3 linked regions of the Macaca fascicularis genome follow. The protein of the gene in region 2 purifies or fractionates together with the protein of the main gene of each other region. This does not show direct contact. Links are inferred from orthologs where the notes say so. Each region holds a gene or a part of one and is shown on either strand. Other genes may lie near its edges.

Region 1 (5,104 bases), on a different chromosome or scaffold from region 2:
ATCCACTGTGTATTTTATATTTACAGCACATTTCAATTAGACTAACCACATCTGAAGTGCTCAGTAGCTACATGTGGCTAGTGACTACTATAACAGTGCAGATCTAGACTCCAGACCATAAAAATCAATGCTTTACACTATAGAGCATTGTGTTGTCACCCCTAAAGTGCAGGTTGGCACCATCGTATGTTTGTGTGCATGTCTCAGACTAAGTTTTAATAGTATTGCCAACCATTTACTCTCCCAGAATAAAAACTCAAGTCACCTTCTTACCATTAACTTAGCAGTCAGCAGGTGAATCCCATTTGACATTTACTTAGTGTCTCTCTGACCTCCTTTATGTCCTGCCTCCATGGAGGCCCTCATTGCCTTACCTGAATGATTGCCAATTTCCTTTCATCTAGTTTTTCTGTTCCCAGTTGATCCTCTATATAGCTGTCAGAGACCATCCTAAAAAAACAAATACCCTCCTGCTCACTCCTTGCACAAAATATCCACTGGATTCCTGCTAACTACTGAATAAAATCTAAACTCCCTATTGGAAATCAAGATCCTTCACAAGCTGATCTTAACCTACCTCTTGCTTCACCAATCACTCATGCACTAAATGCTCAAGCAGGTTGATTATCCCACTCTCCCTAAGTATGCTAAAGCTTCTCAAAGCTCTATATTCCTGTACTGAATCCCGAAATTACCTTCTCCTTTTGAGCTCAGCAAATTCCTTTTGATGCTACATGACCCAACTCACATATTTACTCCTTTATAAAGCCTTTTTGTTGCCCTAACCCAAGTTATTTTGTTATAAAGCGGGCACATAAAGTATTTGAATGGATTTTCAATGTATAGAGTAGTAAAAGTGATCATCGTTGAATATCCAATACCCAATATCTCACAGTTACTTGCCCTCTCAATAATGATCGTGCATGTTGCCGGGCGCAGTGGCTTGCGCCTGTAATCTCAACACTTTGGGAGGCCGAGGAAGGCCGATCGCTTGAGCTCAGGAGTTCCAGACCAGCCTGGGCAACATGGCAAAACCCCATTTCTACTAAAAACGCAAAAAAGTAGCCGGGCGCGGTGGCTGCGCTGGTGACCCCAGCTACTTGGGAGGCTGAGGTGGGAGGATTGCTTGAGCCCGGGAGGCGGAAGTTGCAGTGAGCTGAGATGGCACCACTGCACTCCAGCCTGGGGGACAGAGCGAGACCCCGTCTCAAATAATAAATCAGCTGGGCGCGGTGGCTCACGCCTGTAATCCCGGCACTTTGGGAGGCCGAGGCGGGCGGATCATCCTGGCCAACAAGGTAAAACCCTGTCTCTACTAAAACTACAAAAATTAGCCGGGCGTGGTGGTGCGCGCCTGTACTCCTAGCTACTCGTGACTCTTGAGGCAGGAGAATCACTTGAACCCGGGAGGCAGAGGTGGCAGTGCCTCGAGAATCGTGACACTGTACTCCAGCCTGCGCAACAGAGCGAGATTCCTTCTCAAAAATAAAAAATAAAAAATCATGACCGTGCATGTTGATGACAACTAAGGTGAACTAAGCAAAATCCAAGGGAAAACAGAGGAGTTTGGGTTAGCCCTGGAACTCACTGAGTGGGGAAGTCTCTTTCCTGTCAGTTGAGGGAAAGCAGCAATTTCATATTGGGGCTGCAAGGCCGGGCATGGTGGCTCACGCCTGTAATCCCAGCATAGGCCAAAATGGGAGGTTCTCTTGAGCCCAGGAGTTCGACACCAGCCTGGGCAACATAGTGAAACCCCGTCTCTATTAAAAAAAAAAAAAAAAGAAGAAGAAGAAGAAAAAAGAAAGGAAAAAAAGGGGTTAAAGGGATTGTAAAATTAAAAATTAGGGGATGGGTATAAATGATAGCTCAGGTTCGCCTGGTCACAGGAGGCCAGACTTGCCGGGGTTACAGTCTGACCTCTTGTTTTCTAAAGAGCACGTAAAACAGTACGAAGTCAAAAAAGAATTATAACTTCACAGTGATAGTGGAAGCGCTGGGGGGGCAATGGCGGGAGGGCGCGAAGGGCCGAGACCCTTTTAGTACAGCGTGGTACAAACATCCTAAAGGTCTCTGGAGTCGATGAACTAAAAGGACGCCTACGCGGTGCCCAGAGCTTAGTAACCTCGTGGTCTCTCAACCCAAAACGACGGGAAGAGCCCGAGCGGGGGAGGCTGAGAACGCCGTAGCCACGAGGCTAAGCAGCTAAAGCTGGCGTCGGCTTAACTCCTCCAGCGCCAAGAGATGAAAGGGTAAGCAGAGGGAAGCAGAAAGGAGGAAAGAAGATCCCGGGAGGGAACCGTACGAGCTGCCGCAAAACAGCTGGGAGCTTGAAACCCATGGAGAAGTCACTTCTCTTTCCCTCGCTGACCACTTCTGCCAGGAACGACAGGGACAGTCGCAGCCGAAGCGGCGGGGGCGAGTCCTCGGGGGAGACCGGGTCGGAGTCGGGGCCCGGCGCTCCCGGAGGGCCAGTGACGCCGCCTTCCCCCGCCAGAGGCTTACTCCTTTCTCCCGCCCTCACTTGCCTCGTCAGGCCTCCCCCAACGCCGTCCACTGCCCTTCCCAACCCCTAAGCGAATCCAGGTTCAAGAGGTAGAAAAGCCGATGCTGGCTCAGCAGCGCGGGGCACTACCGGCCGGCAGAAGCCCCCCCAGCGGCGGCCGCCATTTTGGAGCTGGAGGCGAGCGGCGTAAACGAGGAGGACCCAGGGCGAGACCATCTCCGGGGGGTGGGCACGGGGCTGTGGGAAGGCGACGGCGCTCATACCTGCACGCCTCGTCTGAGTGGAGCGAAATTGTATTCAGAAATTATTGATAATGTTTGGAAGCTAAAAAAAAAAAAAAAAAAAAAAAAGGAGTCAACCCTGAGGAGGAAGAAGTAGTATGATTTGCTGGCGTCACCCCTCTGCTCCGTGCCGGCGCGGCGAATGGCAGGTCCCGAGGTCGCAGCTTCCACTGGCGCGGGTGGCTGAGTTGCCTTTGGTCTCGGGGTCCCTGTTGGCACTGAGGCTGCAGGTGGGTCTGGGGAGCCTGGGGGGCCGCCGCGCCGCGGATCACGGCGAGGGTGACGGGGAGGGTTCTAGGCAGGCCCTCGGTGCTGTGCGTGTGTGGAGGGGTGGTCTGAGCTTCCCCGGGGCTTCCGAGCGAAGGTGACGGGAAAGGAAAATGGAGTTTTCTTCGGGTGGAGGATGGGATTTCCGGGCCGGAGCTTTTGGAATGGGTTTTCTGAGGCTGTTATAACAGGAAAACGTCCGTAGAGATGTGACCCAGTGACCGCCCGCTAGCCGGTATCCCATGCCTGGCCTGAAGCAGGGAAGACGCTGGCTGCCTCCCCTCCCCAAGCAGCTTACGTTCATATAAGTCCTAGCCTTCTGTCTCCTCGCTAACCTCGCTCTCTTCCAAACCGCAAATCCTCTTGAGCCGACACCGTTGCACCAAAATGATGCGCTTACCCTTTTGGTTTGCTTTTTTATTTTTATTTTTGAGACAGAGGTTCACTCGTCACCCAGGCTGGAGTGCAATGGCGCAATCTCCGCTCACTCCAACCTCCGCCTCCCGGGTTCAAGCGATTGTCCCGTCTCAGCCTCTCAAGTAGCTAGGTTTACAGGCGCCCGCCACCACACCCGACTAATTTTTTGTATATTTAGTAGAGACGGGGTTTCACTATGTTGGCCAGACTGGTCTCGAACTCCTGATCTCGTGATCCAACCGCCTCAGCCTCCCAAAGTGCTAGGATTACAGGCGTGAGCCAGCACACCCGGCCGACCTTGCCTTTTAAAAGAAAAACGTATGGCCAGGCGCGGTGGCTCAGGCCTGTAATCCCAGCACTTTGGAAGGCCGAGGTGACCGGATGAAGAGGTCAGGAGTTCGAGACCAGCCTGGCCAACAATGAAACCCCGTCGCTACTTAAAAATACAAAAATTAGCCGGGCATGGTGGCACGTGCCTGTAGTCCCAGCTACTCGGAAGGCTGAGGCAAGAAAATCACTTAAACCTGGGAGGCAGAGGTTGCAGTGAGCTGTAGTTGCACCACTGCACTCCAGCCTGGGCCACAGAGTGAGAATCTGTCTCAAAAAAGCCGGGCGCGGTGGCTCACGCTTGTAATCCCAGCACTTTGGGAGGCCTAGGCGGGTGGACCACGTGAGGTCGGGAATTCAAGACCAGCCTGACCAACATGGAGAAACCCCGTCTCTAACAAAAATACAAAATTAGCTGGGCATGGTGGCGCATACCTGTGATCCCAGCTACTCAGGAGGCTGAGGCAGGAGAATCCCTTGAATCCGAGAGGCGGAGGTTGCCGTGAGCCAAGATCGCGCCATTGCACTCCAGCCTGGGCAACAAGAGCGAAACTCCGTCTCAAAAGAAAAAAGAAAAAAAAAGGAAAGAAAAATGTATGAATTGTATAACTGCCAATCAGTGTCAGAGGAGAGGCAGAAATTCAGTCTACATAGGCCTAGCAGAGCTTAGTGCTAAGCAGTTTTGTTGGCAATAATGTATTGTCTTTCTAGGATGTTATCATATGTCTTCTCAGTCATTGTACATGATTTATTAGGTTAGGTCCAAATGCACACAGGTGTATTTTGAATTCATCTGTATGCACGAATTTTTATAGGAAATTGGCAATCCAACTATGTTTTTATTGAATTAGTGCAATTTATTTTCCACCTGATGACCATTACAGGTTCAGCATCCCTGATCAGAATATTGGAAATCCAAAATGCCCCCAAATGTGAAACTTGGGGCCACAAGTTTGAGACCAGCCTGGGCAACATAGCAAGATCTTGTGTCTACAAATTTTTTTAAGGATTTTTTAAAATTAACACCTGTAGCTCCAGCTTCTCAGGAGGTTGAGGTGGGAAGATCACTTGAGCTCAGGAGTTCAGGACTGCAGTGGACTATGATAACTCCACTGCACTCCATCCTAGGTGACAGAGCAAGACTATTTAAAAAAAAAAAAGTTTCATATAAGATTGCCTTCAGGCTGTGTGTATAAGGTATATGTAAAGCCCAAATGGAGTTTATGTTTAAATTCGGTCCTATCCCCAAGATAGCTCATTATGTGTATGCAAATATTTCAAAATCTGAAAAAATCCAAAACACTTCGGG
Region 2 (4,333 bases):
TATAAAATGTTAGCCATCTGGGGATATACTATATTAGTAAATAAGGAAATCCTTTCATTTTGTCATTTGTGACAACATGCATGAACCTGGAGGACACTGTGCTAAGTGAAATAAGCCAGACACAGAAAGACAATTACTGTACAATCTCATTCATATGATCCAACTCATAGAAGCAGAGAGTAAAATGGTGGTTACCAGAGGCTGGGGGCCATGGGTGAGGGAGGGGAGATGATTTTCAAAGGACACAAAAGTTTCAGTAAAATGGGAAAAAAAGTTTTGGAGCTCTACTGTACAGCATGGCAACTATAATTAATAACTGTATATTTCAAAACTGCTAGGAGAGTAGATTTCAGAATGTTCTCTCCACAAGAAAATGGTAAGTATGTCAGCCAATGAATATATTAACTTGATTTAATCATTCTACAACATAGACATGATCAAAATATCACACTGTACCCCATTAAACATATACAAGTAATACCGTCAATTAAAAATAAAATTTTTAAAAAGATTTTTAAGAATAAAAAAGAAAATTATTTCAAATCACTTACTACCTAGTAAAGTAATATTACAAAGGAATCCAGCAGGATTATTAACACAAACATTAATAATTTTTTAGTATCATTAATCAAATATGTTAAAACATTATTTCTTTTATTTATCTAATTCTTTTTCAGAGGACAAAGGATTCATATAGAAATCACAGAAGTCCTCATTTTGAATCACCTAAGTCCCCTTTCATTTGGTTATTACTCAGCATATTAAAGACACAAGAACCACAAGTCAGCCCCAACTAATGAGTGGTTTCTGCTCAATCTATTTGTTGGAACAAGAAATTCACTGAATTTAGAAATACTAATGTTGTCTAGAATAAGGACCTCAAACCTATATTACAACCTCCTCCTTCCTCTATTTTTGAGACAACAGACCCTCTAAAGCCACAAGTCATTTTTTCATATTTTTCCATACTTTTTGAGAGTAGAGGTGACAGTGGAAGGAAATCAAAGGCACTGAGGATGAAAGACAGAAGCAGTGGCTGACATTTAGAGGCCAAGGATGAATATGTTAGGGAAGGACTATTCAGACCCTGTATTTGGTTCTGTACTCCGATCACAACTGGCACCTTAAAACAAAGACAGCTCTCTTGCAAATAAAAGTGAGTGAGAGTACATGGCTCTCCAGTATAAACTGATTTTATTAATAGGAAGTAAAGCCTAATACATGTCTTTCATGTTGCCCTGATGAGGATAAGCAGCTATTTTTTCATCATTTACTACTAGCTTTCTCCCTGGGAAGAAGTTATTATTCTTAATCAATCTTGCTAGTTTCATAAAAACTTGGTTAAGGCAGATAAAGATTAAAAACAAAGTAAGAGAGGCAACCAGATGAAAAATTCAAATAAAAATAAAATTTGGGAATTATTTGTGAGTTTATTCTCTATCACCACTAACCTGGTTTTTAATTAGTAATCAAAAGTAGCTATAAATATGATAAACATTTATATCACTTTTATTTAAAAGAAGTAAATACCAGGCACCCACTAGCAGTCTCCAAAAAGGAAACCAGTATACAGAAGACCAGACTGAAATATTAATTTCAATCTCTTCACAAGATAAAATGTTTTTATCTACTCCCATCCTAAAAGTATCTTTAATGCTTCTTTTAAAACAAATTAACACTGGTAAAGTTTATAACTGAGTATGGATTTATACATATCCTATTAGCAACTTAAGTTGGGGGATCATTATCATATTTTTGAATCACAAGATTGGTATCTGTATATTCTTCTCAATTTTAGAACACTGTCTCTTTCCTATACTGTGAAAAAGCAAGACACATATATATCTGTTTCAGTGTGAATCTGTTAAAGATAAACATAATATCTATTACTTTTAATGTAATGCTATCAAGATATTATTTTAATTGTCAAAAATTTAAAAAAACACTCGCAAGCTATTTTTCTTTCAAAGTCAAATGTCTTATTTACTATTTACCCGGTGGTGGAATCAGAGGTGGAGCAGTGCTGACAGTCGGAGGAGGTGGAAGAAATGGAGGAGGTGGAAGGTGAGTGGGAGGAGCTCCTGGAGGGAAAAACGGAGGTGGTTTGCTAAAATTGTTGTCTACTTCAGTAGCAGATCTTTCAGAAAGGACCTAAAATTAGAACACAGTTAAATAAACAGATGCATAAATATTATGTAAGATTAATCTTAGTAAATTAACTTCATTTAATCTAAGAAACAAAGTAAATGGTAGTTTAATTCACATATATGTATTTTTGCAGGGAGAGTAATAGTTCTACATGTGTGATATGTGCATACATATGCCTATGTGAGCATACACACACATATACTTTTTAAAATGTGCATATTCAAATCTTAAGAAAAAACAACTGGCTCATTACCAAAAATTTCTTAATAAAAAGTAATTAAGTAATAAAAACACCCCACACAAGAAAAAAGTACTTCATAAAGATCATTTAACAAGTATTATCTTTGTCACCCAACCAAAGTTAAAGTATTCAATTAAGGCAATGTAATCATTAATCAGACACTAGCCTTAAGAAATTAACATGGCAGCAGGTCAGTCATTCACTGTACGAGGGCCTGTCATCAACAGGTTGCAAAATAAGAGACTGTCAGGCATGCATCAACAGACTGCAAGCAATAGGCAGCAAGATATGTAAATAACTTTATCATGTGAGCCTTGTAACTTTAAGAACAGGGTTTTTTCTTGAAAAATAAAGTAATGTTTGCAAAATGCTTATTTGTGTGAACAGGTTAAGGGACAGACACCATAAGCAGCACCCCAAACCTACTGAAATAAAACAAGCAAACTGGCACCTCAAAATCTGGATTTTTGGTAAGGTCCCCAAGGATGTGTAAATAAATTTGGGAAAGACAGCCAACATAATGTTGTATATTTAATTTATACTTCTCAGATCCTTGCTGACTAAAGCAATCTTTTAAACATACAATCCCTCTTTCTATTAATGTTTCCTATATTTAAGTGCAGTGTTTTTTGTAGGGCTTACGCTGATAAGCTATTTCTTTAAGTATTTATTTTGAGAAATCATGGCATTTTAATGGTAAGAGGAAAGGAAAAATGGACTAACATCTTCCACTATAGAAATGATTTGCCTTTAAAGATGCTAAAAGGAATATTTTACATGATCAACTTATCGAAGGTGAGAATAAAGTGCTCTGGACATTTTCAAAAGGACTCAGAAAACAGAATAAATAATGAAAAAAGTATGGCCAAACTGAATAGCTGGAAGTCTCAGTTATTAAAGTTCTAACATCAATTATCCAGCTTACTGATAATTCACTTCCCCTCATTTTTTCACTTAAAAACAAAGGAACTCTACACCTCCCCCGGAAATGTCACATTAAATAAATTATGGTATATTCATCCAGTGAAGCTATCAGGAAGATATTTTAATCATATTTTAAGAATATGAAAACATGCAAATAATTTTTGATGGGGGAAAAAAGTATACACAGAAATATAATAGTATCCCAATTTTGCTTAGTAACAAGAGATGTACCAGCTGTGGTTATCTTTAGGTGGTAAAATCACTGGTGGTCTTTTATTTTTCAATCAGTGAACCTATATACAAGTTGAATATTCCTACTCCAAAAATCTGAAATCTGAAATGCTCTAAAATCCAAAACATTTTGAGCACCAATATTTTATTCCAAGTGGAAAATTCCACACACAAACTCATATGTGACGGGTCACAATCAAAACTCAGGCCCACTACAGAGTTTATTCAGAGTTGCCAAAGGAAAAAAGATGATCATAAATTAACAAATCATTATAATAAATTAAATAAATTATTTATGAAACATAAATTTCATGTTTAGACTTGGGTCTCATCCCTAAGATTACATACATACAAACATTTCAAAATCTGAAAATTTCCAGAATCTGATACACTTCTGGTACCAAGCATTTTAGATAACAGATATTCAAACTGTATTAGGTTTCTATCAAAGAAAAGGAAAAAACCCTATTAAAAAGAGATTCAGAAATTATAAATTCTCACTGGAAATGCCTTTATAATAAAGGAGGACTCGTTCCACATTTTAAATCTCTTTGTATCACCTAAAACACAGCACAGCACTATGACTTGAATAAATTAAATTAGAATGCTGATATCATCCTTCAATTTAAGAAAATACTAAACCTGTATGTTGCTGTTCTCATTTGCCCGTCGCCTTCCTTCTACTCGGCTGATAGTTATAGTCTGACCAATAACATCAATTGCTCCAGGTAATCTCCTGTAACACAAAAATTGAATCAATTCAGTTTCACCTAATTACATGCTTAAAAA
Region 3 (5,000 bases), on a different chromosome or scaffold from region 2:
CGCAATGTAATAAGCCCCATCTTTCAACCAATTTTTAATTGTCTCATTGGTATGTATATTAGGACTAAATGGCTGTATTCCTTACAAAAAGTAAAATAAGCAATAAGTCAACTGAGTATTCAGGCTATATAAAAACTTCTACCTACTTGGGCCTTGATTATTCTGGTAACATGATTAATGATAGAAAAGTAGATTATGAAATAAGAAAACTAAAAGGCATGTTAAATGCTGTTTAGTCTAAAGGTTTTTAACTTCTGTCTGGTGGAGCAAATGGACACCATCTGTATATGAAAGCCAGATACCAAGAAACTGAGAGTTTACTTAGTGAAACCTACTACTTATGAAAAGTCAAATATCATGTATAACTCATCCAGATCAACTGGTCCCTAGACACTGATTTTTGGGAAGGATGTGAGAGAATTACTGACTCAGATTTAGGGCTTAAAGACTATTGAGAAATTGGAAGGTATTGAGAGATAGGGTTTCATCAGAGTGGACTTAAGTAACCTGGTTGATTTTAGAATTGTCACAGCAAAATCAACATGCTCTGATGCTTGGGGCCTGGCAGAACCTTGCTGGTCTCTGAAGGCTGGGATAAATGAAGCAACAGTAAACCAGGTGTACTCCTTGATTTTTCAGGTAACACAACTTTAGAAAAAAACAATTCTAATACAAGTTTAACCTTATCCTGTTAACTCTAATATTTCAAAAATAATTCTAAAACACTAAGACAATGCTTATCCTATTGCCTCCAATAGGATTTTGTATTTTAAATGGTTTACCAAAAAATGTGTCTTATACTTTTGGGTAAACTTTATTTTGTTATACAACCAAAAATCTTAAAACCATCTTAGTACATTAACGTTTTAACAGGTCAACTTTTAGTCTTTATGAGCAGTTTTCACAAAGTTTTACTCAACATTTAAAAAATGTAGTTAACATACTGTAGACACTTCAATATTGCTGCTTATTCTTTGTAATCTTATTTGGCATAATGTTGTCATGTTCAGAGTTATTTTACAGTAACTTAAAGTGAACAGACACACTCCCTCCTCCCCCCACCCTCAATTAAAAATAAAAAAGGAAAACAGAAAGAAATAAAAAGAACAAAAAGTAAGATTAGGTTCTAGGAGGAGGGAAACCCTAATCCAAGTGTGGGGATGCAGAAGTCAGCTTTTTGCACCCATTCTCCATGCTACAGAATAAACTTTGAGACTACAGCCAAATATTTTCTAAAATCTTTCAAGAAGTTCCAGTGGATTTCTGGATTTGTTCCTTTAAAATCAGGATACTCTGCCTTTGCTCAGGGGGCAGCATGGCAATCTGATCTGCAGTTAGTTGAAGAACCTGCATGATCAAAGCCGCCTTTTCCTGATCCTGTGGAGTGACCTGGCTCTGCCCAGGACTAAAACTGCTAGGCTGGCTTCCACCTTGCTTGCTTGCCCCCTGTATGCCTCCTCCTTGTATACCCACTCCTTGTATGCCTGCCCCCTGCATCCCTCCTCCTTGTATGCCTGCCCCCTGCATGCCTGCTCCCTGCATGCCTGCTCCCTGCATGCCTGCTCCTTGTATGCCTGTACCCTGCATACCAGCTCCAGGATTCCCCACCCCTGAAATGCCTGGGACCTGTCTGGGTCCCTGAGGAGGGCCACCTGCCCCTATATTAATGGGACCAGGACCCTGAATTCCACCAGTCATAGGACCTCTTGTACTGGGGACAGGGCCCCTCATCTCCAATCCTCTTGCATCCATGCCTCTTGCTTCCATCCCTCTGGTTTCCATGGCACAGGTCTCCATTCCTCTCCTCTCCATTACACGTGTCTCTAAGACCTCAGTTTCCATGGCGCGAGTCTCCATCGCTCGAGAATCTCTACTACCTCTACCATCCATAGGTAGACCCCTTTGATCTATCATGGGGCCTCTGGGCTCTCCAATTAGCAGTCTGGGATCTCCTAATGGCCCTCCCCTCATCTCATGTGAGGAAGGGCCACGAGTGTCATGACCAGAGGCATGATGCATGGGGGGACCCTGATGGGGTGGACCCAGATAACCTCTGGGCTCCACTTCTCCAGTGACTGAAAGCAAAGTCCCTCCACGTGGGTCATTTGGAGCATCTCCTAACAGTCCTCGAGGAGGTAGACCACCAGGAGTCATGGGTCCACGAGGTATAGGAGCTCTAGGATCTGACATCTGCACTTGTCCCCGCTCTAAAGGCACTGGGCCAACCCCTGGCATTCCAAGTTGGGGCTGCATTGCTCCTCCAGGAGTTAAGGAACCAGGACCAGGTCCGGGAACTGCAGCTGGTATTGGCCCTGGAGCTGGAATTCCACCCTGGATAGGAGTCTGCATCAGAGGAGGAATGTCCTTCACAGGTCTTCTAGCCAAATGCTGAGGCTGAGGAGCTGGTGGATTCTGCTGGTTCAGCAGAACATTAGGTCCTGGGCAGAGCCCAGGGCCAGGGCCAGGACCAGGGCCAGGGCCAGGGCCAGAGACAGACACAGACTGAGATTTGCCTGGGATCAGTGGTGTGACATGTATCTTCCGATGAAGAATTTTCAGAGCAATCTCTGGATCCATGATTCTCATCACTACTTGCGCCTGCAACAGCGCATAAGCCAGTTGTGGATTTTGAAGTAACATGTTTCGAGCTTCCTGGTGGCTGTTTTGGACACAGAGCTTCATCTGCTTCATCAGCTCAAACATCTGCTCCGGGGGGAGACTGGCTACTGCTCTGGTAATCGATTCAGGGGCATCTTCTGGATCGATGGGATCCCCATAGGGTGAGTCAATAATGGGCGCTGCAGGCCCGAGGCTCTTTAACTCCTCCTTATTCTTTTCACTGGCAGCATTGTCCACCCGAAGCGCTCTGCCACTGAACTCCCGCCCATTGAGGTTCCGCATGGCACTAAGCGCGGTTTCCTGGTCTTGGTATTCGCAGAAGCCATAGCCCTTGGGTTTTCCCGTCTCTCTATCGTATACCAGCCGGAAACTGACAACAGAACCAACCTCCGAGAAAATGTCCTTTAACTGCTCCTCAGTTGCCTCATACGGAATGTTCCCCACGAACACGGAACGCAGTGATCGATCCATTGCCGGGTCTCTCACCGCCAAACTCGACATGATTCCGGTTGTGCACACTGCCGATAGCGGATTCTTCCAGGCGTCTGTCCTCTTGCGACCGACACTTCCGCTGAGCAACGGAAGCGGCTCTCAAGATCCGGGCAGAAACCTTACTAATTCGCTTGAATCGTTCTGCTTGCCTGTGGAACCTGCATCCCACTAACAAGTTATCTAATGCTTTAAGTCCCTGATCCTTCGTGGTTCTGTCAGCTTCTTATTACAGAGTCGCATGATTCCTTTCCCATTTCACCTTCCGCCGACTTTCTGTGGAGCCCCAACAGCCCCGCTACGACACCCTTGGTGCGAGATGACCACAGTAAAGATGGCCGCATAGACTTCACCATAGTAACTGGGAGGGGACTCCTCCCTTGACGTCAAAGGCGGTTTTGCTTCCGTTCCACCGGCGGGAAACCGCCAACCGAAAGCGGATTTAAGGCTGCATGTTTTTCGTTCTGACAAAGTATTTTCATGTGGCCTTTTATTATAGTATAGTTAAGCTAGATTTCAAATCACATTCCAGACTGAGGCAAAAGCGTAGTCGTTTCAAAGCACATTTGAGATTTGCCCCTTAAAGTAAAACAGTATTATATTTCCTTTTTAGAACAACGTTTTTGGAAATTAACTGACAAGAAATATAAACTGAAGCGTGTGCCTGCTGGACCCTGCCCCCGCTCTGTTGCTTCCTATAACCGCTGTTAATGGATGGGTGGCAGACCCTTCTAGGTTTTTTTGAGCACACGGGCAGCAGTCGTGCTATTCCTAATATTACGGTTTTCTTCCTTAATAATAACCGATTTCAGTATTAATTGGTGATTAAATAAATTAGTTATTAGCATTTTATGGCTTCAGAGTATGGAATAATGAAATTTACTTAACTATCCCTACATTGATTGGTTCTGATTTTTATTATATCATGCAGTGAATCCACCACTTCCATGAAGGGAAAAACAAATAGTGGTTGTCTTCTGCTGTTAGCTTTCCAGGCAGGAGTTAAAACATATTCACTGTGGGATTTCCTCGACTCCAATTCGAAGATAGAACTGAAACTTGGGGATGGCTAGGTAAATTCCCAAGGACAAGCAGCCGGAAAGAGGCAAAGTCAGGATTCTAACCCAGGTTGGTCTCGCATAGCTCCAGATCTACACTGCCTTACGCATATTGAATATTTGAAATGCAGCTAGTGTGATTGAGGAATTGAATTTTAAATTTCATTTTTTATTAATTTAAATATAAAAACTAATGTTCAGTAGGCTATTGGAAAACTTTTTTTAGTATTTATGACAACTTGGGTATAAAATCTACTTTTGCAGTAATAAATTGTATTTTAAATAAAAATCATTTCACAGAACACTAAGATAAAACAAACAAACAAACAAAAAAAGAAATAAAAAGAAAGTACTTCCAGTCAAAATTTAACATTCCAGTTGAGGTATGCCATACATGTAAGACACATGAAAGATTTTAATGATCAAATACCAAAAAATGTAAAAATAGCTCATCAATTTTATATTGTTTATAAGTTGAAATGTAATATTTTTGTATACTGGATTAAAAAATTATTTTGAAGTTAATGTTATTCATTTCACTTTTTAAAATGTGGCTATTAGAAAATTTAAAATTATATGTATATATTGCATTATACATCTGTGGACTGGACTGCTCCAAGTCTGTGCTTTAACTCCAAAACAGAGAATTATTTTATTCTGAAATATGCTTCTTAAGTGGATTATGAAACTTCTAAATTTCGGCCAAAAAATTGTATTATGTATCCGCAGAATCCTCGTCCAATGAATAGATTTGACATGAGTATGATGGTTTAGTTGCAAATAAGACATCCATTTACCTTCAAGTTTTTGAAACGGTTCTGTACTTAGCTGTTC

Evidence for each region. The genes of interacting proteins can lie anywhere in the genome.
Region 1: the proteins of FIP1L1 (region 2) and CPSF2 purify together in Homo sapiens (affinity purification with mass spectrometry; 7 studies listed by BioGRID and IntAct, with this or other methods). This does not show direct contact. The link is inferred for Macaca fascicularis from reciprocal best matches to the Homo sapiens genes FIP1L1 and CPSF2.
Region 3: the proteins of FIP1L1 (region 2) and CSTF2T purify together in Homo sapiens (co-immunoprecipitation; 3 studies listed by BioGRID and IntAct, with this or other methods). This does not show direct contact. The link is inferred for Macaca fascicularis from reciprocal best matches to the Homo sapiens genes FIP1L1 and CSTF2T.

Annotation. Positions count from the first base shown.
Region 1 is NC_088381.1:160,117,519-160,122,622, reverse strand, and holds the start of CPSF2 (cleavage and polyadenylation specificity factor subunit 2), read right to left. Parts: upstream 3,167-5,104; 5' UTR 3,015-3,166; coding exon of another isoform or gene 2,970-3,014; 5' UTR 2,968-2,969; coding exon of another isoform or gene 2,883-2,967; 5' UTR 2,767-2,882; exon of another isoform or gene 2,724-2,766; intron 2,687-2,723; exon of another isoform or gene 2,303-2,686; intron 1,802-2,302; exon of another isoform or gene 1,589-1,801; intron 446-1,588; exon of another isoform or gene 375-445; intron 1-374. UniProt on the Homo sapiens protein: Component of the cleavage and polyadenylation specificity factor (CPSF) complex that play a key role in pre-mRNA 3'-end formation, recognizing the AAUAAA signal sequence and interacting with poly(A) polymerase and other factors to bring about cleavage and poly(A) addition.
Region 2 is NC_088379.1:80,479,175-80,483,507, forward strand, and holds part of FIP1L1 (pre-mRNA 3'-end-processing factor FIP1), read right to left. Parts: intron 4,281-4,333; coding exon 4,187-4,280; intron 2,152-4,186; coding exon 1,995-2,151; intron 1-1,994.
Region 3 is NC_088383.1:94,860,357-94,865,356, reverse strand, and holds CSTF2T (cleavage stimulation factor subunit 2 tau variant), read right to left. Parts: upstream 3,167-5,000; 5' UTR 3,121-3,166; coding exon 1,243-3,120; 3' UTR 799-1,242; downstream 1-798. UniProt on the Homo sapiens protein: May play a significant role in AAUAAA-independent mRNA polyadenylation in germ cells. Directly involved in the binding to pre-mRNAs.